4 linked regions of the Arabidopsis thaliana genome follow. The protein of the gene in region 1 interacts with the protein of each later gene in a biochemical or structural test. Each region holds a gene or a part of one and is shown in the gene's direction. Other genes may lie near its edges. The genes, in order: MC9, AT5G44310, CPN60B and AT1G29350.

Region 1 (3,576 bases):
ACTCGATGGAAGAGACCGTGTCTGAGTACGGTTACGAGCCAAGCGAAGCAAGTGTTACTTGGAGCGTTATGACCGCCGAGCCGGCCTCGGCCGTTGCAGCTAACTTCTCAAGAATTGCCTTGTCGTCATCGTCTACAGCATTTAGTGGTTACGATAAGAAGAGAACCGGTTTGTTGAACTGTCATTGTGAGAAGGCGGTTATGGTTAACGGCGATAAGCGTTTAGTGCAACCGGTTAAGAGCGTTGGTGTTCAAAACGACGTCGCGGGAAAGGTGTTGTGCAACAATGGCAGTTCTAAACTAAGCGTGACGAGTAGACCAAGGCAATGATGGATACCAAATCTTTGTTCTTGGTTTAGATCCGGTTTTCTCCAGTTATCTTGGTGTGTTTTGGATGCTTCTCGTGTAAAATTGCTCTGTTTTTTCTTCTTCTTTTTTTTGGTTAATATAACTTGTGTAATGATTAATGAAGATTATGGTTTGTGAAGTAAACAAAATCAATGTGTCCTGTATTTATCACAATATTGATCACATTTTTTTGTAATAACCGGAGTAAATCCCGGAGTGAAACCCAAACTAATCCTCAATACTTGTATGTTGTATTTAAGGCGTCTATAGTCAAGAAATAGATTCGTAGCCTTGACCCACATAGCGAATCCTCTATCCACTCGAACAAACCAATGGACCACAAAACACTTGGTTATACGATTTCTTTCTTTAGAAACCTCATCCACTACTTCTTTGAGGTCCCATGGAAACATCAATCTTCAAAGATTGTAGGCGGGCTGAATTGAGCAAAAGAAGATGCCCCATGTGTCTTTGTTGTAGGTACATTCAGAAAACAAGTGGTTCTTGGATTCAGGTGCATTACAGAGGAGACAAAAATTTCAAGAATATTCATGCCCCAATTCCTTAATCTATCACGAGTTGGGAACTTGGGAGATGATTCCAAGCCGTTACCCAAGAGATAATAAATGCATGCATAGGAATATAAACAACTTTATGCAATAAACAGACTGTAGTATTGGTCATCGATTTAGTTTTGTTTATTTGTTAAAAACATAATCCAGCATGTGTTTTTATCACATAAAACCAAAAAGAAAAATTCTCAGTTGATGAAGACGTTTAATTTCTGATTAGTCTTTCGTTTACTAAAAGCTTTATCTTTTAATTTGAATGCTTTTTATTTTGTTAAAGAGTTTACCATTGAAAGTTTGATTTCTTTTTTGGGGATATAACTTGTAAATATGAAGTCAAGAGTTAGGCTCGTAGGTGAAGTGAAGATGGTGCTAATAGCATAAATGGTTCGTCTCAAAAAGACTTTTCCGTTGCGTGCACGAAGTATATAGACGGTCCTTTAGGATTAAGGCAAATTATAGTTTGGTCAATTGACATTATTTTCAACAATGTATACGTTATATACATTCGTATATCATAGCATTTAAAGTTAATTAGCTCCTCTCTTCCCTTAGATAGCTAGATGGATTAGGTCTAAATATTTGGGAAAATGACTTCCCTTTTGAAGTTACGTATATATCCAAGTTAACCAAATTAATCATGAATCCATGACTTAGGATTAATTATGTCTTTCTCAAAAGTCTGATTTAAGGTTTAGTTTCTTGCTTGAAAGCATTAATAAGTCAAGAGTAAGCCATTAAAAAATGTTCCATAGCTTAAAAGCAAACTAGACTTGAAAATATAAATACTAATATCGTATGTAACTTGAACTTCACTACACGAAACCTCAATCATAAATACACATTAGCTCCAAAACCACAACACTGCACATGAAAACTAAACACACGTACACAAGAAACCCCAAAACATTTTGCCTAGAAAGTTGTTTAAATTACCTCTTAAACCTTAAGAAATCATATCCAGAAACTCAATGGATCAACAAGGGATGGTCAAGAAAAGACTAGCCGTTCTCGTCGGCTGCAACTACCCTAACACAAGGAACGAGCTTCACGGTTGCATCAATGATGTTCTAGCCATGAAAGAAACTATTTTGTCACGTTTCGGATTCAAACAAGACGACATTGAGGTGCTAACGGACGAGCCAGAATCAAAGGTAAAGCCGACAGGTGCCAACATCAAGGCTGCTCTACGTAGGATGGTGGATAAAGCTCAAGCCGGATCTGGAGACATCTTGTTCTTCCACTACAGTGGCCATGGAACTCGTATTCCTTCGGTTAAATCTGCTCATCCTTTTAAACAAGACGAAGCTATTGTTCCTTGTGATTTCAATCTCATCACAGATGTTGATTTCCGAGAATTGGTCAATCAACTTCCTAAAGGAACAAGCTTTACCATGATCTCTGATTCTTGCCATAGTGGTGGTCTCATCGACAAGGAGAAAGAACAGATCGGACCCTCTTCGGTCTCCAGCAACATATCTCCGGCTATTGAGACAACGAACAAGACTATAACATCACGTGCCTTGCCCTTCAAGGCAGTCCTTGACCACTTGAGTTCTCTCACCGGAATTACAACTTCCGACATCGGCACACATCTACTTGAGCTCTTTGGCCGCGATGCTGGTCTTAAGTTTCGGTTACCGGCAATGGATCTAATGGATCTTTTGGAGACTATGACGGCCCGTGAAAAACACGTGGACTCAGGGATATTGATGAGCGGGTGTCAGGCGGATGAGACGTCTGCTGACGTCGGCGTTGGGAACGGGAAAGCGTACGGAGCGTTTAGCAACGCGATTCAAAGGGTGTTGAACGAAAATGAAGGTGCCATGAAGAACAAGCAACTAGTGATGATGGCAAGGGATGTGCTTGAGAGACTAGGGTTTCATCAACACCCTTGTCTCTACTGCAGCGACCAGAACGCAGACGCGACGTTCCTTTCTCAACCTTGAATTTTAAACGTTTGCGTTGTTTTCTTTTATTTGTTTTATCACGTTTGCCTTTGGGGTTGTTGTAAATTGTTAACTGGTGGAATGTGTGTATTTTCTATTCTCTGTGGTGTACTCTAAAAGGAAAAAGGACATATAAAACTTGTTTAATAACATTTATCTTTTTTAATGGTACAAAAAGGTTTAATTAAAGCTTTTCTAGAGAATGTACTAATTTAGTTACCAAGTCAGCAGTATTGGAGCTAGAAGAACCAACCTCTTGGGTTGAAGAAATGGCAGCACCAGTCATTTTGTGCTGCCATTTTTCAGTAGGTCCCCACAAGAGTTTAACCCTCTGGCCTTTGATGTCAGTCCAGGAGGAGAGCTCAAGCATGGCCTTCTCAGCAGCTAGACGGGTAGTGTAAGTGAGGAAGGCACAGGTGCCTCCTCCTCGGTGGGGGAAGATAACAATAGATTCGATTTCACCATAGGGGCAGAAATGGTCTCGGATGTCCTGCTCGAGGACACTGGAGTTAATAAGTCTACGGATGTAAAGAGTTTTAATACTTTGATCCTCTGGTGGTTTCAAAGGGCCCGTGTTACAAGCTCTTGCAAGCACCTCGAGTACAAATGGGTTTTCTAACCTGCGGTGAAGAAAAATACATGAAACACACAAACAAACAAAGACTCGAGAATATATATACATCTATATATGTATGTAGAATAGCTTACCCA
Region 2 (4,077 bases), about 17 Mb from region 1:
CAACGTCGTCTTGCTCATCTACGGCCTCATTATTTTCATCAACATTTGAAACACGGTCACTTTCAGCATCATCATCATGAGCCCTAGAGACATTATTCCTGAGTGTCTTGACGGTTGTAATGAAAGAGACAAACAAGTTGAGAGAAGGATACCTACCACGAATCATAAAGAACGTATTCAACTCCACTTGACTGTCAATGTAGACAGGAGGGCGTTTAGTATCTATCATCACTAACATCTCTCTGGGCATCCAGTAACTAATTATGGGATTGATCTCTGTGGACTTCAAACTGAAAGCCTCGCTTAGTGTACGTACAAATTCCGTGTACGTCATGTTTTCCGTAACACGTACACAGCGACCAAACATGTCTTTCTTTAGTTTAAATTTCTATTCTTCTTCTTTGCATCTCCCCTCACCGACCATAATAAATACGGGAATATCCATTACCCAACAACATCATAAATTCATGAGAAACCGAGTAAATGCAACTGAAAACATGATTATATCTACAAAAACAAATAGAATTTCGATATACACACTTATAAACATAAGTATTTACACATTTATCATTTTCAACCAACAAAATTGAAAATAAAATATTTCTGGGTTTTTCTATAAAAAACAAAGTTGATTTTGAACACAATGAAGATCATAGTATGTTATAACAAAAAAATTCTTTAAAACTTCATTACTTACACGATAATGCTTATCTTGACTCCAAACTTCGTAAATAAAAAAGATCAACACTTCTTGAGCATCAATGTTTGTTCGCAATTAATGTTTGTTCCTGGGTTCATCTTTAACTCACCAATTATTATCAATAATTTTATAATATTATAACTAAACCGGAATAGTGTACCTAACTAAACCTGACTAAATAAACCGTACATTCAACAGTTTCTCTACTGCAGCAGTAAGGGCAAAATGGTCAAATTTCAGCTGAAAAGACAAAACGTGAAAACCACCTTTCACTTTGCCAATCCTTGAAAATAAAACATGGTCAAAGGGTGTGGCCTGCAAATTACCCTTATGGAAATTTCATTTTGGCTCACGTACAATGACTTTTTTTTTTCTTTTCCTAGTAACCAAAGTAACCTACATATATATATCCTGCAATCAAAATTAAGCATGAGAGATCAAATATTCGGTTTGTGTTTGTGTTGGACTCTAGTTTTCTAAACCCCATTCGAATATTTTAAAACTTTGGGTTGGGTTCGGTTTAGTACTTTAGCGTTTATACTCTAGAGTCGGGTTATTTCCTATGGGAAACAAATGCAGAATAATAACATCGTAATCATATAATAACATCGTAATCATAACACTTTTTCATGTGTACAATTGGGAAGCGCAACCAGAGCGAGATACTTGAACCAACACTAGAAAAATGTCATTTAATTCATAAATTTTTGATGATAGAACTTCTATCATAGAAGGATAACTTCGAATGTTGTTTTTTTTCTCTGTTTAGAACATGCAAGTTTATGTGTAGAATCCCCCTATGCTACTTTTATCCATTATCGTGTCTCTTTATCAAAGTTTTAAAACGTTAATGTATATATTTCTAAAAAATCCTGACCATGAGGGAATTTCGCATTCTCCCATTTGTTGCCTACAGCCGTCGATCTTGAGAATCGTCCATCTAATCCCACGGTCCCTACTCGACATAAGACACCAGATTTGTTCGATAACACACCATAGTAGTTTAGTTATCACTTGGTTAACACGTGTTACAACATCAACACGTGTCGAATTCGTACTGCCAGCTGTCCCAAATGGCTTCTATAAGTTCGCAACATAGATAATGCAAGCCGAGAGATTACGGATCCAAAACTTCAGAAAACTAGATTTTGTAAAGCTAAATTAAGCAGAAGAAGAAGAAGAAGAAGAAATTGTTTTTGTGATTGATTAATATGGCGGCTATGCAGTTAACGAGAACGGTTTTCTTCGGGATCTCGAAGGCTTTCCCTAAAAGCCAAGCTCCTAGAACTCTTGCGGTAGCGATTGGTCGGAAAAGCTCTCGTGTCTTTTTTGCATCGTCGGTTAACCATTCTAAGGTAATTAATATATGGTCATCAATACAGATTGATGCATAACCGGTTTTTATGCTTGTGTGTAAATTAACTAGTTGATTCACAAATGATCTTGATATTCAAAACTATTTTATTTAATTATATAAAAAAAGAAGGAAATTGTTTTGTGTATATGTGAAGTGGGATCTTTATTTTTAAAAATAAAAAGTTTGTATCTATTTATAATATGTGGAGTTTTTTTCCGTGTGATAATTTGGATGGTGAATTTAGCAATATGGTATTAAGCTAACGTGTTTGACAAGAAATCAAGTGGAATCTGAACTTTGAAAAATGATCAATGAGTATGATATTTGTTTTTGATATAAGATTTTTACAAGACTCTTTAACGGTTTGTGACACTTGTTAATTCAATAAGCTGGTATTAGGTCAATATGTGTGAAGAGATATCAATGGTTGTTGATTTTCAGGGAAGATATGATCCAGTAGAGAAAGCGAGAGACTCGAGGGCCGACTTGGCATATGATTCGAAAAAATGGAGAGAAGAATCAGGAGAATACGCAGAAGCAGGTAAAGGGAAAGCCCACAAGACAAAAGAGGAAGCTAAGGACAAAGCTTACGATATGAAAGAGAGAACGAAAGATTATGCTGAACAAACTAAGAATAAAGTGAATGAAGGAGCAAGCAGAGCAGCTGATAAAGCCTATGAGACGAAAGAGAAGGCCAAGGACAAAGCCTATGATGTGAAAGAGAAGACGAAAGATTACGCAGAAGAGGCCAAGGATAAGGTGAATGAAGGAGCTAGTAGAGCTGCTGATAAAGCTTACGAGACAAAAGAGAAGGCTAAAGACAAAGCCTATGATGTGAAAGAGAAGACAAAAGATTTTGCGGAAGAAACTAAGGAGAAAGTGAATGAAGGAGCGAGTAGAGCAGCAGATAAAGCTTATGATGTGAAGGAGAAGACAAAGAATTATGCGGAACAAACAAAAGATAAAGTGAATGAAGGAGCGAGTAGAGCTGCGGATAAAGCTGAAGAGACAAAAGATAAAGCAAAGGACTATGCAGAGGACTCAAAGGAGAAAGCAGAGGACATGGCTCATGGGTTTAAGGAAAAGGCTCAAGATATTGGGGAGAAGACTATGGATACTGTGAAAGATGTGTGGGAGACGGCGAAGAGCACGGCTCAGAAGGTGACTGAGGCTGTGGTTGGGTCCGGTGAGGAGGCGGATAAGGCTAGGGATGATGTTGATAAGGGCTTGGAAGATTTGTCGAAAAAGGCGAAGGAAAATCGAAATAAGGATGATGATTTCAAGAGGTTCTAAATTTACTGATCATCTTGTTACCTTTTCTCTTTTGTTGTTATTTTACTATAGGTGGTGTTTCATCTTTCTATGTTTTAAAAGCTCTGTTTGAGAAACTTTTATAGTAGGGTATTAAAGGTTTTATCAAACATTCCTTTGGCTTTGAGGTTGATGTGTAAAAATAAGCTAAGATCAGAAAGATATCTTCAAAGTAAAGATGGCGCTTCATCGTTCCATCATGAGTTTATGTTCCTAAATACAAGTTTACTGGATTTGGGCAACTAATATTAGTACAAGCAAACCTTGAGACAACTCACTAATCCTTTCTTCGCCAATTGTCTCTTCAACTTTGCCTTGTGGCATCTTTTCACGAGGCAGAACCCTAACCCTATGAGAAGGCGTCGGGTTCGAAATCGTTATAGCCTATGACTCTTATCAATTATCATATATAAAACCGAAAAGAAAGTAATTAATATTACCTCAATTCTCTAACCCAAATGCATGATCTCTGGGATAGACATTTAGACCAAATCCTGTTTCGACCGTGGGTCAACTCTCAAGATCAGGGAAGAGCCACGTCCAGATTAGTATCTTATAGAAATCCAAATCTGGGAGAGGAAACTTATCCGCTGTTCATTCAGCTCCCATGAGATACTCTTATTGGGAGGAAGAGAAGCCAAATAAGTTTTCATCTCCGTCAAGACGGTACACCAATTACTCGAACCATGGTGAGACTCTTAATCATGCT
Region 3 (6,037 bases), on another chromosome or scaffold:
CCTAGTCGCAGGTACATTGTTGTTAGCCTTAGAATATGAGGATGCAACTCCACTGCCAGAAACAGACCTCTGCACATCTGAGAAGTTAGAGCCATCGTGCCATGACACAGGAGTGTAAAACCCATCATAGCTATACCTGGGGTCCTGATAACCAGCAGCAAGACCACCTCCAAGAGCACTGTTTCCATACAGTGCACTCTGATTCAATGGTTTAACAGGAGCTGATCCATTCATTCCTTTAGGGATACCAGCAGATGCAGAGTTGGCTGCTTTGTTTGTAGAGAGCTTGCTCTGAGTAGAGGCAGGAACAGACGAAGCGAAAGGCCCACTACTGGCTGTGAGAGGAAAAGGATACTGGTACTGCTGAGCACCATACAACTGTCCATCACCACCAAGTTGTGGAGCAGGGCTTGTTGCTGGTGAGTAAGGAAAGGCAGCATACCCGTATCCCTGCGGATAAACAAGAGATGCATTCTCTCCGTAAGCTCCCTGGAGTGATTACCAAATGACTAAGTAGGGCAAAAGGTAAAAGAGAGGCTAAATAGTCTGGACACGAGTTGCTTATAAGAAAATATTAACGCACGTACTGATGTCATATCAACACTCTCGGAATTGGTATAACCTGTGTAGTCACTCCCATAACCTGAAAGATTATACAAACGGTTGTGTTATAGATATTACAATAATTCTAGACAGTAGAAGGCTGAAGATATATAAATGAAACTTAATTATCACCATAATAGTAGGGCTGCTGATACACATTAGGAACATAGAAAACAGAAGGATCCAAGGCATCACTGGGTAGCATAGGTGACAAAGATCGATCAAAAGAAGGAACTTGACCATTCGAATCCATAGCTCCATACTGGTAAACACCCGTCTGCAAAGATAATGATGCTATGAGAACTCTGCTTGGAGTAACAAAATGTGCAGAGACATTAAAAGATGTAACTTTACCTTCTTAGTAGGCTCAGGGATCTCCAAAGTCCTAGACTTTGAATCTAAAGACAGTTTCTTCAATACATCAGCAGCTTCTGAAAAAACAATGTAAGTGAAGGAAACAAATAGGTTTCTATCTTCAGCAAGACTAAAAAATTGATTTTTCTAATCAATTTATTCACTTTGCTAGCTACAGGAACAGTCAAATTCATCGAGCTAAAACAAACAGAACAAATGGAAATGACATCATTTCACTATATGAATCGAATTACGATGAAGCAACTAGATTCATGAACGTAGATCACAAAAGAAATGAAGGAGAAAAGAAACAAAGGCAAAGGATACGATCAGCAGGAGGAGCAACAGTAGACATGAGAACAGAGTTGGCAGCGAAGACTGATAATAGATCCTTGTCGGATATTGAACAATAAGAGTTTGAGACAAACACAAATATCAGAGCAAAAAAGAACTCAGAAGGAATCTAGGGTTTAAGAGATTGAATCGTAGCCGCAAGAGAAGAGAGAAGAAGAGGAAGAGGCAAAAGTGGTTTTGTTCGTTCACCTCGATTTGATTCAAATACCTCCAAGATCCCTTTTTTATATTTTTCTATTATTTTTGTTTACCTTTTTCTCCATCGTTTTTTTTTTAAAATACTTCCTTTATTCCAGCCACATTAATATTATACTAGTCACTACGAAATATCTCACAAAATAATACTATAAATATTATTTCCTCGAAAATTTCGCAATTAATCGGGAAAAAATCAATTTTTAAAATAAATATCACTGATTCCAATTCCATTGTTAGGAATTAAGGAGCAAGAATAAAGGCCCAAATAGGCCCAATATAAATCTGATCCAGGATCCGAAGAGTTGAATCCAACGGCCAAGATTAACTCAAAGCTTGAAAGAGGTAAGGGAACGTTAAAAGCACCTTCCAAGCGAGAGTAAGGAGATAAACCTACTTCCTTTCCTTGCTTCAGCTCCCCTTTTCTTATCCGGAAACCAAAAACTTCCGGTGATAAAACCTCCTTCGTCATCTCTCTACTTCTGTTAGTTTCTTAATCCTTACTCTTGGAATAGTTTATCCTCTGCATTTTTTAGTGCCACAGTTTATGTGTGTATGTTTTGTTTGGATAAGAATTTGTTGTAAGCTTTTGAAAACTTGTATTAGTTCATTACTTCCATGATTTTGGGTGTTTTGTAATAAAATTTATGGATTAGTGTTTCTTCAGATTGTCAATTGTGTTCTTATTGAGCTCTGCTTTCGAAGGTGTCGCCTTTCTTCTGGTTTGTTGTGAAAATTTATTACTTTAGCTTACTGGGTTGTTGTTTCTTTCTGTTATATTGATTGTGTTAACCGTATATAGATGAAAAGAAGAGTCTTTTTTATATCTTTGAAATCTTATCTAAGTGCTGAATTTTGTCTGTCTTTGAAGTGGATAAAATGGCGTCAACTTTCACTGCCACATCTTCTATTGGTTCAATGGTTGCTCCGAATGGTCACAAATCTGATAAGAAACTTATCAGCAAGTTGTCTTCAAGCTCATTTGGAAGGAGACAAAGTGTGTGTCCTAGACCCAGAAGATCCAGTTCTGCAATTGTGTGCGCAGCAAAGGAATTACATTTCAACAAAGATGGGACTACCATTAGGAGACTTCAAGTAAGTATCTTTTTTAAAAAAAGTTAATGGAAACTTCATTCCCAAACCGGAGCTAAAGGTTTACATTTTCTGTGGTTTCTAATTTTGTGTTGTACTAGGCTGGTGTCAACAAGCTCGCAGATCTTGTTGGTGTTACACTTGGACCCAAAGGACGAAATGTTGTTCTTGAGAGCAAGTATGGATCACCACGAATTGTTAATGATGGTGTGACTGTTGCAAGAGAGGTATGGAATTATTACCCCTCTGATAATGATTTTTGTTCTCATTCAACTGAGTCTTAGAGTTTCAAACTTTCTCCTGTAGGTTGAGTTGGAAGACCCGGTTGAGAACATTGGCGCTAAGCTTGTGAGGCAAGCGGCTGCCAAAACCAATGACTTGGCTGGTGACGGTACAACAACATCTGTTGTTCTTGCACAAGGTTTTATCGCTGAGGGTGTCAAGGTCTGTGTAACATTCTTCTTTCAGCTTTCTCTATGTGAAACTTCAAAAACTTTTGTACTAATTTTAAGATTATCTTATTCAGGTGGTAGCTGCTGGTGCAAACCCTGTTTTGATCACCAGAGGTATTGAGAAGACAGCAAAGGCTTTGGTTACCGAGCTCAAGAAAATGTCTAAGGAGGTTTCAAATTTATAGAACTCTCTTTCTTTTAATATGTTAAGAGTCTTTTTCAAAAGGTTCTGAATGTAAGTCATGTCGATGTAGGTTGAAGACAGTGAACTTGCAGATGTTGCAGCTGTTAGTGCGGGTAACAACGACGAAATTGGAAATATGATTGCTGAAGCAATGAGCAAAGTGGGCAGGAAAGGTGTGGTGACCCTTGAGGAGGGTAAAAGTGCCGAGAACAACCTCTACGTCGTAGAAGGAATGCAATTTGACCGTGGTTATATCTCTCCTTACTTTGTGACAGACAGCGAGAAAATGTCCGTCGAGTTCGACAATTGCAAGGTAGATGTTTCTTGAATCTGAGTAGAAGATGAATTTTGTTGGCAGACTATTTAGCCACTAAAGATATTTATATATGAGTATAACAACGATCTTTAATGTTTTGGTATGATTGCAGTTACTTCTCGTTGACAAGAAAATTACCAATGCAAGGGATCTTGTTGGTGTTTTGGAGGATGCAATTAGAGGCGGATACCCAATATTAATTATTGCTGAAGACATTGAACAAGAAGCTTTAGCGACTCTTGTTGTAAACAAGCTTAGAGGTACACTGAAGATAGCAGCTCTCAGAGCTCCAGGGTTTGGAGAGCGCAAGAGCCAATACCTTGATGATATTGCCATTCTAACTGGAGGTAAGTTCTGTCTGCATTGATGAGCCCTATGTTTACGCATATATTTGTAGTTTTTATCTTGTCCTAATTTTCTATCTTCGCTTGCAGCAACTGTGATCCGTGAGGAAGTTGGTCTTTCACTTGACAAAGCTGGAAAAGAGGTTCTTGGTAATGCTTCAAAGGTTGTCCTCACAAAGGAGACCTCGACCATAGTGGGTGATGGAAGCACACAGGATGCAGTGAAAAAGCGTGTTACACAGATTAAAAATCTTATTGAGGTATAGTAAAAGAGTATAGCATATATGGGACCTCTTTTACTTTTTGTGGATAGTGTAGTTACATTGCAATGGTAATTGGTTTGTGCAGCAAGCGGAGCAAGATTACGAGAAGGAGAAACTCAATGAGAGAATTGCAAAGCTCTCTGGTGGAGTTGCTGTGATTCAGGTAAACTAAAAACTATTTAAGTTTCCTTTGTCTGATTAAGATGTGTTTCAGAGATATTAAGTTAAGCTCGTTATGTATTGGTTAAAGGTTGGAGCACAAACTGAGACAGAACTCAAAGAGAAGAAGTTGAGAGTTGAAGATGCTCTTAATGCAACAAAGGTGATTTTGTATTTCTGAGGCTTGAGAAGCGTGTTATTTGCATACTCGTGAACTATAACTAATCAGGATTTTAATTCTTCAGGCCGCTGTCGAGGAAGGTATTGTTGTTGGTGGTGGTTGCACTCTGCTTCGTCTTGCTTCCAAGGTTGATGCCATTAAAGCCACGCTTGATAATGATGAAGAAAAGGTAAATCAATCAAGTCTTCAGATTTTAACTCATGAACCTTCGGTTTCTCTAACTTTGCTGATGATTCCCTTTAGGTTGGAGCGGATATAGTTAAAAGAGCACTAAGTTACCCCCTAAAACTAATCGCCAAGAATGCTGGTGTTAATGGAAGTGTAGTTAGCGAGAAGGTAATAACAACAGATAACATAATTCCCACTTTTTTATCTCTAGATTTCAAGTCAGATGCTTGAAGAGATGTCTCTATTCATTGGCAGGTGCTTTCCAACGATAACGTGAAATTCGGTTACAATGCTGCAACCGGCAAGTACGAGGATTTGATGGCTGCAGGAATCATCGATCCAACAAAGGTAAGTTTTCTGTGCATATACAGAAACTGTCTTTGCTAGCTAAATTGGTCATCAAAGATCCATGAACCTGAGTGGCTTTATCTTGATTTTAGGTTGTGAGATGTTGCTTGGAACACGCAGCTTCGGTTGCAAAGACTTTCTTGATGTCGGACTGCGTTGTTGTTGAGATCAAGGAACCTGAACCAGTTCCCGTCGGCAACCCAATGGACAACTCAGGTTTGTTCAGAATTTCAAATACTTGAGTCTTTGGTAAAGATCCCCCGCATTCAATATTCATGTTTCATTGCTGAATCTTGTTGGCCTCTCTTATTTCAGGATATGGATACTAAGAGGAGATAGGCTAATATTGAAACGGATTACTTTAGCTTGCGAGTGTAATGATTTTGAACAAGAGAATGTGTAATGTGAAACTGAAATTTTGAATTAATCATCATATGAATAAATCATGATTCCCTCAATGCTTCGAAATATCTCGAAATCGCCAAATATGAAACTTTTGATCCAAAGATTTGAAGATTTATTATCACTTCATATGAAATGGTATACGTAAACTGAATGAAATGGTTAAAAGAATTTCTTAAGAAAAAAAGAACACATTTATGATCGAATAAAATTCCTCACAAGTATGTATAGAGCCAAGAAGAGAAGAGAAGCTATGAACAGATCACATCAAAAGACACAAACTTTAGGTGAACTATTTCTTGTTAAAGCCAAACAAGGATTTGATGGCGTTAATGGCACTCTCATTGATGAAAGATTCGTCGAATTGCTTCAGAAGTGGATCGAAATCCTTCGACTTCCTGAGAGTTTCCAGATCTGGATCACTTCTGATTCTCTGCAAACAAAACAAATAACACAGCTTCAACAAACAAGTCCATCCTTCTCTCTGTCTCAATTGAAACATTACAACTCCTTGGACTTACCTTAAAATCTTCATATCCTGACTTCAATGCTTCTTCCAGAGCCGAGAGACCAGCTTGAACCTATCAAAATAACTCTATCAACACTGCAAGTCAAAATGCAA
Region 4 (7,483 bases), on another chromosome or scaffold:
AAGGAGCTTCTTGAGCATGATTTTCCTCTTCTTCCACAGTTTGATCATACCAACTCTTCTCCTTGTCCAGCTGCTTCGATATAACCAAGAGGTCAGATTTATTACGAGGACCAAACGCTTCATCATCTTGTGTCATAGTATCAAAGTTTAGGCTTTTCTTTGCAGAGCTTCCCCAATAGTAAGTTTCTCAGAGGCGATCACGTGCTTCAATTGAATGTAGTCGCCTCTCTTTTTCAGATTCAAGCGAAAAGGTCTTTCTCTGTTAAGAGCTTGAGAAGAAACTCCTTGTTTTACTCGTAGTGAAGAGATCAAAGGATCAGAGACCGTCAATTGCGAGTCCGAGACATGGGATAAACCAGCAGATTTTGATGCTGCAGCTGGAGATTTGTTCTGGTTCATCCTGCGGGTCACAGCTCTTTCTTTTGATGAGGATGGCTTGTGATTATGGTTCTCCAGAGTGTCATCATAACGTCTTTTGCGACCTGAATCCTTAAAGGGAGGGATCTCGCGGACTGAAGAAGGGTTCTTAATCTCTGAAGGTCTCATAAGTTTCTCCCGTGTTCGGGGAATTGAAGCTGTGCTCCATTCAATTCGTCGATCATAGCCCTGAGAGTCATCCCTAGTCGTATGATGATTTGAGTAGCGAGCATTTGCAGGTGGGTTCCAGTTCTGAGATCGAGAATTGTCAATACGACGCCAAGCATGTTTAGAATTAGCATTTACAACTTGTTTGCCTTCTGTTTTTCTCCTGCGGTAGTCAGAGGTTGTTGGGTCTTCTTTAGCTTGTGTTGGCTTGACCAAGTCAGGTCTCCACCACGAAGGGTGAATCCTTCCATTTGTGCTGAGCTGGAGAGTTGCAGTAGGAGTAGAAAGAGTTAACTTCTTCCCTGAAGTCAGCTTTCCCAAGCTTTTGTCATTATCTTTTTCAAACGGTAACGTCTCCTTCTGAGCCACAAGGTTTAAAGGACAAGATTCTTGTTCGTTGTAGATCCTATGACAAAGCTTACACCACCTAAAGAGTCTCTTGGAGCCGAGAGATACCCAAACAAGCTCACCCGAAGGGATTTAAGTCTTTTTGCGGAATCTCAAGGGTTCATCTGCCTTACTAGTGACTGTGTTATTTTAAAGATTGGAGATGTACAACTTTTGTAAACTGTTGTCGTACTAAATCGAACAAGACAAAGTTGAAAGACTTGTAGGTAACTGAAAACAACGGAAACATGAGGAATCTGCTTATTAAGCCCAGTTGCGATTCTCTCTTTATTTGTTTCTTCTCTTCTCTTGTAAACAAGTGTATCTTTTTGGTTCATTTGTCTCTAACCTTTTTTGTAATACATTCTTCTTTTACTTAGAAAGTTCATGTGCTTAACTCTGTCCAAAGTTGCAATCCAAACTAGTAGTAATCTTTCATCGGAAGCGATATAAACCCAAATCAATCGTTCTTTATTATCCTTGGGCAATGTGGTTTTGGTTCGGTTTAATTTAGCACTGCTGGTTTAAACGAGAGAACCGGTTCAGTAATTTTTCAAATTTAAAAAGGCAAAGAGGAAAAAAAAAGGAAAAGAAAAGTTGTTTTTTTTTCTATAAGGTGAAGAAAAAATCTGGAGAGGGTTTCGTTTTCTACAGAGAGAGATATATCTTCCCTTGAGCTTCCTTGGTGTTCTTCGTATTGTCGTCGCGACTGAGAGAAGGCCACAAAAGCTTCGTTTATTTCCTTCAGATCCGATATAGTGAGAGAGAGAGAGAGAGAGGCAGCTTACGGCGGATAAATATGAGCAGCAGCAAGGTCGGCGGCGGAGCAAGGAAAGGAATTCAGGATATTCCGTCAGGGTCTAGAAAAATAGTACAAAGCTTGACGGAAATTGTAAACTCTCCTGAGGCTGAGATCTATGCTATGCTTAAAGAGTGCAATATGGATCCTAACGAAACCGTTAGTCGCCTCCTCTCTCAAGGTTCCTCCTTTTTCCTCCTCCTCTATTTGTTTGAGCTGCTGTGTCTTTGGATTGTTAATTTGGGCCTGGGGTTTTCATGTATCCCGAGGAGGATTTCTCGAAATCGACTTAATTACTAAGGGTTTCTATTAGGGTTTGATTGGGGTTTTTATTCTGAACAGACCAATACTTTCGTTTTTGTTAGTTTCTAGAATTTAGTCATTGTGCAATTCTAAAGCTGTCGCCTTTAATATGGTTCCCCTTGTAATTGTCCAACTTTCTAGCTGGTTCGGTTTTATAGAGAAGAAAGATGTTGTTAATGGTTTGCTTTCTTAGTTCTTGATTCAAGGCTTGTCTTTGTTCTATTATTAATGATATTGATACTTGTTTTTTCCTTATTCAGATCCATTTCACGAGGTAAAGAGCAAGAAAGAAAAGAAGAAAGAGGTGAGTCCATGTTACAAATCGTATTCTTATGGATAATAGACCCAGGGGTGTTTTGTTGTGTGCTTTTGGTGTCCAGTGTTGGCGTTTTAAGTGCAAACTTATGGCACAATCTCTGTATCATTACATGCTTCAACCATGTGTGATACAATCAACTTCTGTTTCTTGTACACAATTTCTATGTTGACACATCTGGCAATGATTTTTTTTATTACTAGCTGTCATCAATCATCATGCTGTACCTGACTCTAGATGTTTTGCTGGAATCAAATGAAGTCTAGGTCTAGCTAGTTATTATGTAGTACCTGACTTTAGATGTTTTGTTGGAGTGAAATGAATTCTAGTTTTAGCTAGTAATCGTTTTAATTTACTAGAATTTTGGTGATTTTAAAAGTTTTTTTTTGTCTATTCAGACTAGGGATATATCAGATTCTCGGCCGCGTGGTGCTAATAACACCTACAACCGTGGTGCTAGAGGTGGTTCTGCTCGTTACGCCGGACGAAGTGGATCTACCCATTTCAGCTCTACTGGTATAAGCATGATCTCTTGTATACACAAATATATATTTAGTTTTAACCGTAAGATTCATGCTTATGTGCTTCTGTTGTTCAGATTCTGGAAACTTCCAGGGAAAATCTACAAATAAGAAAGAAAGTGGAACGCAGGGTTATACAAGTTCTTGGTCTTCTGCTTCTGGAGTGGCGAACACCTATCAAACACCACACAGGTTTCCCCTTGAGCGATTCTTTACTTTTGAGATGGGAATTGGGATGCTGTTGAAATATTTAGTGGAAGTTCTGTGCTGCGTATTGAATCAATTAATTGATTTCATATTTTACTCATATGGTTACTCATTGTATTAGTAGGATCCATCTAGTAGTGATTTTCAAAATTCCCAGTTTATGATGTGCTTAAGGGATATCACCAAATAGGAAAACTCTGTGATTATTTGTTTGATCTTAGGCCCTTTCCTACATTAGAATACAAAGCTTAAGTTGGATTGGTTAAAGTAATTATATGACCTATGGCTTAGGTAGGTAGTAGAATATCACAATTAGTTTTACAAGTCTCTAGTTTGTGAAAGATTTGAGCCAATAACTAGAGAAGTACTGGTAGGTAGTGGTTCATTTCTCTTTTTTAGCCTTTTCAATTTGACATTTTTTTCCCTTGGATTATGTTTTTGTACATGTTTCTATTTGGGTTGTACAAGTTTCTCATGTATCCTACTTATCTTTTGCAGTGAACCCATTGCTATGGAAAACAAATTGCCTCCTGTTACCTTGGGAGATGGAATATCATCATCAAAGTCAGCTTCTGGACATCAAACTGCATGGTTTGGAGCTCCAGGCCAGAGGTCTATGGCTGAAGTTGTGAAGATGGGTAGACCACAGAACAAGACAACAAAGCAAAATGTCAATGTGGGTTCTGAGATAAATCATGAACACGAAGTTAATGCAAATCAGCAGGCCCCTGTTAAAGATGAATGGCCGTCGATTGAGAAGCCGCTGGCTCCTAGTACATCTTCTTTATCAGTAGCACCAGCAGAATCAGAAGTACGCAATGGTCTAGCTGATTTCCAATCCGATAGAGGAGATCAATATCTGAAGGACCGGTTAGAAAATATTCATATAGCAGAAAGTGGCCCGTCTGAAAGTCGTGGGGTCGATCATGTGCAAGCCGACTCTGTTCAAGAAGATGAATCTGTAGTTTCGTCAGAAATTGATGATAATCCATATCAGACACAGAGCCATCCAGTAGAGCACCACAAAGGTAATATTTTGAATCTTTATAAAATGTTTCCCATTTATTGCTAGTGTGTGCCATTATGTTCAAATTCTTTTTCCTGTTTCATTTTGGAGTGGGCTTGTGTTTATTGATCATGTGAATACAGATGGGATTATAGTTCTGCTGGGGGGTAATGAAAGCTTCTTTGCTGTTTTGTTTGTCATAAAACTATACTATACTTTGCCTGCTCTGTTTTCTTTCTCAACTATCTTTTGGCGGTAGAGTGATTCTCATTATGTGATGTTTTGTTACAAAATATAGTATTCGAAAATCAATACCTTATGAGGATCTTTTGGTGTTTCTGATGTTTTTTTTTTATTCACTGTCTCATTATTACTTTTCAGATGAAGATGATGTTTCATCTGGTTCAGCCAGTTTTCAACAACTAGATAGTCATGATCAAGAAGTCTCACATGAAGAGGATAGACCTGCTGTTGTAATTCCAAACCATTTGCTAATTCACACAGAAGAATGCGCGCAATTAAGTTTTGGAAGCTTTGGAGGTTTTGGATCAAGGCCTTTGAGCAACAGCGTAGAAGCGACTTCTGATGTAGCTCCACAAATCGAACATTCAGATGCAAGGTATATTTCGTGTTTACTGATTACTTTTTCCAAACTTTTTATGGACTTCATTTATATCATACTTACCAACTGATCATACTTGTTTGCAGAAATACTGAGTTCTATGGAGATGAACATCTGGGAAGTACAACCAATGGAAATATGGTCCACACACCTGCTACTGGAAATTATGATGATTCTTTAGAAACGAGGCGAGAGGTGTTGAAGCAAGAAAACTCTGAGGGCGCTCAGGAGCACCAGTACACATTTACCCAGTCTGAGCAAGGGTATGCGTATGAAAATGCTAAGCAGCAGCAGATGAATTCTGCATATGATGCCTCACACACAAATTCACAGAATCAGATGCATAATCTTGATTCATTATCAAATGTGATGGTAAGCTACATGTTTATTTTTTATAACAGAACCATGTTTCAATGGGTTTTGAAAATCATAGTTGTTTGTGATAGCTTCTAAGATACTCAATTTTCTTTTTAAAATGCAATCAGGCTTTTTATATTTTTGCTGGAAGAGTAGCTTAGTAATCTCTGAAGTGATTCCCATGAAATTCTTGAATGTTAACATTAGTTCTTGTATGTTTTTATCTCAGCAGGGGTATTCACACTCAGTTCCCAACACTTTATTGGCACAAACAGCACAAAATGCGAGGGAACTTGACTTCCAGTATTCACCTTTCTCAGCTCAACAGTCTATGCAATCAAGAACTAGCAACAATGCCTCATCACTTGGTGGCCAAAGCATTTCAATGCCAGAGGTAAATAATTCTTTCTCCTTGAGAAACACGGGACTGAAATAGTTCTTTCTCTTAGCTTGTTTTCAGAAGTAGTAGTTACTGGTTAGTTGTCACATGGGTACTGTTTTGCTTACTTAGCCAAAGGCAGTAGTTTCTTCAGATTCGAAATCTGAATCTTCTTTTACAAGTGAAACGTGTGTGATTTTGATTTTATATTCTTTTACATTGCAGGCGCTCCGAGGCAGTGGAATTCCGGCAACACAGCCAACCCAGCAAACACTACCTGGTGCTAATATCGCTACTGGACCTGCTCTTCCTCAGCAGCTTCCAATGCATTACTCTCAACCCACATTACCTCTAACACACTATGCAAACATGATCGGTTATCCTCTAATGCCTCAGAATTATCCATACATGCCATCTGCTTTCCAGCAAACATTTGCTGGTAATAGTGCATACCACCAGCAACTAGCTGCATTGCTTCCGCAGTACAAAACCAATGTCTCTCCCGGTAATTTGCCTCAGTCTGCAACAGCGCCTGCCTCTGCTTATGGATTTGGAAACTCGACCAATGTCGGATCTGCCGGAAACTTCCCTCTTAACCAACAGTCTGCTACTACCGGTACAACGCTTGGTTATGAAGATGTTCTTAGTTCTCAATACAAAGAGAATCATCTGTTGGCACTTCAGCAGCAGCAGCAACAACAGCAACATCAACAACAGGTACTTTCTCTTTTTGGTCACTTCCTTGCCACTTTCGTTTGGTTTCAGGCATGAACCATTTTGGTGACGTTCTTCCTCTTTTTGACTTAAATATACAGAACGAAAACTCGGCGATGTGGCATCAGGGTCATGGTTCCAGAACCATGTCAGGTGTCCCGACTAACACGTATTACAACCTCCAAGCACAACAACAACTGCAACTACAACACCAGCAACAACAACAGCAGGCTCAGCAAGCAGCGGGAGGGTATCGCCAAGCTCAGCAACAACAGCATTATGGATCTCATGGATACCCAAATTATTATCAGTCTCAGACCGAAATGTCACTCGAGCGCCAGCAGCAAAACCCTAGGGATGGTGCTGGGTCTCAGGCTGGTCAACCGTCGAATCAATCTCAGCAGCAGCTCTGGCAAAACTCTTACTAAATAAAGAAAGAGAGTGGGTTTTTTCAGCTTCTTTCTCTCGCTTATAGAGGTTTGTGTGGCGAGTCTGAAGAGGAAATATGGTCGTGTTCTAAAATGTAACTTATCATCATCTTTTGTCTCCTCTGTTAACTTAGGGAACATGCAACTCTGATTTCATCAATGCAACTTCAGAAATGAAACTTTTTTTTTTAACTCTTGCCTCTTCTTACTTCTCTTGTCTAAGGGCTCAACGTGATTTTTGAAGCATGTTCTTCTCTTGTTTATACATCTGTGGAAAGAAAAAATTATTTATAATTTTCTTAGGTTACAAACTTCTCTCCAGCTGTATAAGTCAATGGAGGAATTGTGGACACAACGTCTGGATTGATTGATCTAATCTATTTTCAGTCTAAGTTTTCTAGGTAGCAAACATGTGTGAGCTTCGAGTCAAGTCAATGTTTTGAATGTAGTTCGTTTACTATTAGTGTTATCAGAATTTGTTTAGTGTTTGAATAATCTTCTTATTGATTAGACATCAGATTACATCACACTTAACGTTGTCACAATAGAGATGTGAACAAAAAAAAACAAAGAGAAAGGGAAAAAAATTATTAACTCAAACACTCTCTATGGATTTTACGTACCTCTTATCGACAAAGCTAGAAGGATTTTGCAATGAAATGATTACACATTTTTTTAAAAGTTTCAATGTCAATAAACTATACACATAAAAAAAAAAACTCAAATATTTTCCAAAATTCCAAGTTCGTTATGTGGAAAATGTCAATACACACAAACTTTCAGTCGGATTTAAATAACAATCTGTGCGTTGGATAATTTTTATGTAGTTTAACCTTAATATTGACATAATGAAAAGACA

What was found.
Region 2: of the proteins of MC9 (region 1) and AT5G44310, one has a biochemical effect on the other in vitro, tested with the Arabidopsis thaliana proteins (one large-scale study listed by BioGRID).
Region 3: of the proteins of MC9 (region 1) and CPN60B, one has a biochemical effect on the other in vitro, tested with the Arabidopsis thaliana proteins (one large-scale study listed by BioGRID).
Region 4: of the proteins of MC9 (region 1) and AT1G29350, one has a biochemical effect on the other in vitro, tested with the Arabidopsis thaliana proteins (one large-scale study listed by BioGRID).

Annotation. Positions count from the first base shown.
Region 1 is NC_003076.8:1,152,006-1,155,581, forward strand, and holds MC9 (metacaspase 9), read left to right. Parts: upstream 1-1,734; 5' UTR 1,735-1,887; coding exon 1,888-2,865; 3' UTR 2,866-3,035; downstream 3,036-3,576. Other genes in the region: PKS4 (phytochrome kinase substrate 4), read left to right, coding at 1-329; AT5G04210 (CCCH-type zinc fingerfamily protein with RNA-binding domain-containing protein), read right to left, coding at 3,050-3,485, 3,574-3,576. UniProt on the Arabidopsis thaliana protein: Cysteine protease that cleaves specifically after arginine or lysine residues. Does not cleave caspase-specific substrates. Required for proteolytic processing of GRI.
Region 2 is NC_003076.8:17,847,271-17,851,347, reverse strand, and holds AT5G44310 (Late embryogenesis abundant protein (LEA) family protein), read left to right. Parts: upstream 1-1,811; 5' UTR 1,812-1,911; coding exon 1,912-2,055; intron 2,056-2,323; exon of another isoform or gene 2,324-2,462; coding exon of another isoform or gene 2,463-2,498; coding exon 2,499-3,350; 3' UTR 3,351-3,567; downstream 3,568-4,077. Other genes in the region: AT5G44306 (uncharacterized protein), read left to right, coding at 3,976-4,077.
Region 3 is NC_003070.9:20,715,022-20,721,058, reverse strand, and holds CPN60B (chaperonin 60 beta), read left to right. Parts: upstream 1-1,797; 5' UTR 1,798-1,990; exon of another isoform or gene 1,991-2,377; 5' UTR 2,378-2,385; coding exon 2,386-2,601; intron 2,602-2,699; coding exon 2,700-2,825; intron 2,826-2,904; coding exon 2,905-3,042; intron 3,043-3,124; coding exon 3,125-3,220; intron 3,221-3,304; coding exon 3,305-3,547; intron 3,548-3,662; coding exon 3,663-3,897; intron 3,898-3,984; coding exon 3,985-4,154; intron 4,155-4,242; coding exon 4,243-4,320; intron 4,321-4,407; coding exon 4,408-4,479; intron 4,480-4,561; coding exon 4,562-4,666; intron 4,667-4,740; coding exon 4,741-4,833; intron 4,834-4,920; coding exon 4,921-5,013; intron 5,014-5,105; coding exon 5,106-5,229; intron 5,230-5,328; coding exon 5,329-5,342; 3' UTR 5,343-5,496; downstream 5,497-6,037. Other genes in the region: ECT4 (evolutionarily conserved C-terminal region 4), read right to left, coding at 1-489, 588-643, 736-880, 958-1,034, 1,285-1,312; ZKT (protein containing PDZ domain, a K-box domain, and a TPR region), read right to left, coding at 5,708-5,848, 5,937-5,996. UniProt on the Arabidopsis thaliana protein: Binds RuBisCO small and large subunits and is implicated in the assembly of the enzyme oligomer. Involved in protein assisted folding. Required for proper plastid division.
Region 4 is NC_003070.9:10,267,902-10,275,384, reverse strand, and holds AT1G29350 (RNA polymerase II degradation factor-like protein (DUF1296)), read left to right. Parts: upstream 1-1,563; 5' UTR 1,564-1,771; coding exon 1,772-1,952; intron 1,953-2,334; coding exon 2,335-2,378; intron 2,379-2,788; coding exon 2,789-2,906; intron 2,907-2,988; coding exon 2,989-3,103; intron 3,104-3,616; coding exon 3,617-4,146; intron 4,147-4,505; coding exon 4,506-4,743; intron 4,744-4,832; coding exon 4,833-5,118; intron 5,119-5,332; coding exon 5,333-5,497; intron 5,498-5,707; coding exon 5,708-6,199; intron 6,200-6,297; coding exon 6,298-6,624; 3' UTR 6,625-6,964; downstream 6,965-7,483. Other genes in the region: AT1G29355 (uncharacterized protein), read right to left, coding at 1-70, 295-991, 1,336-1,337.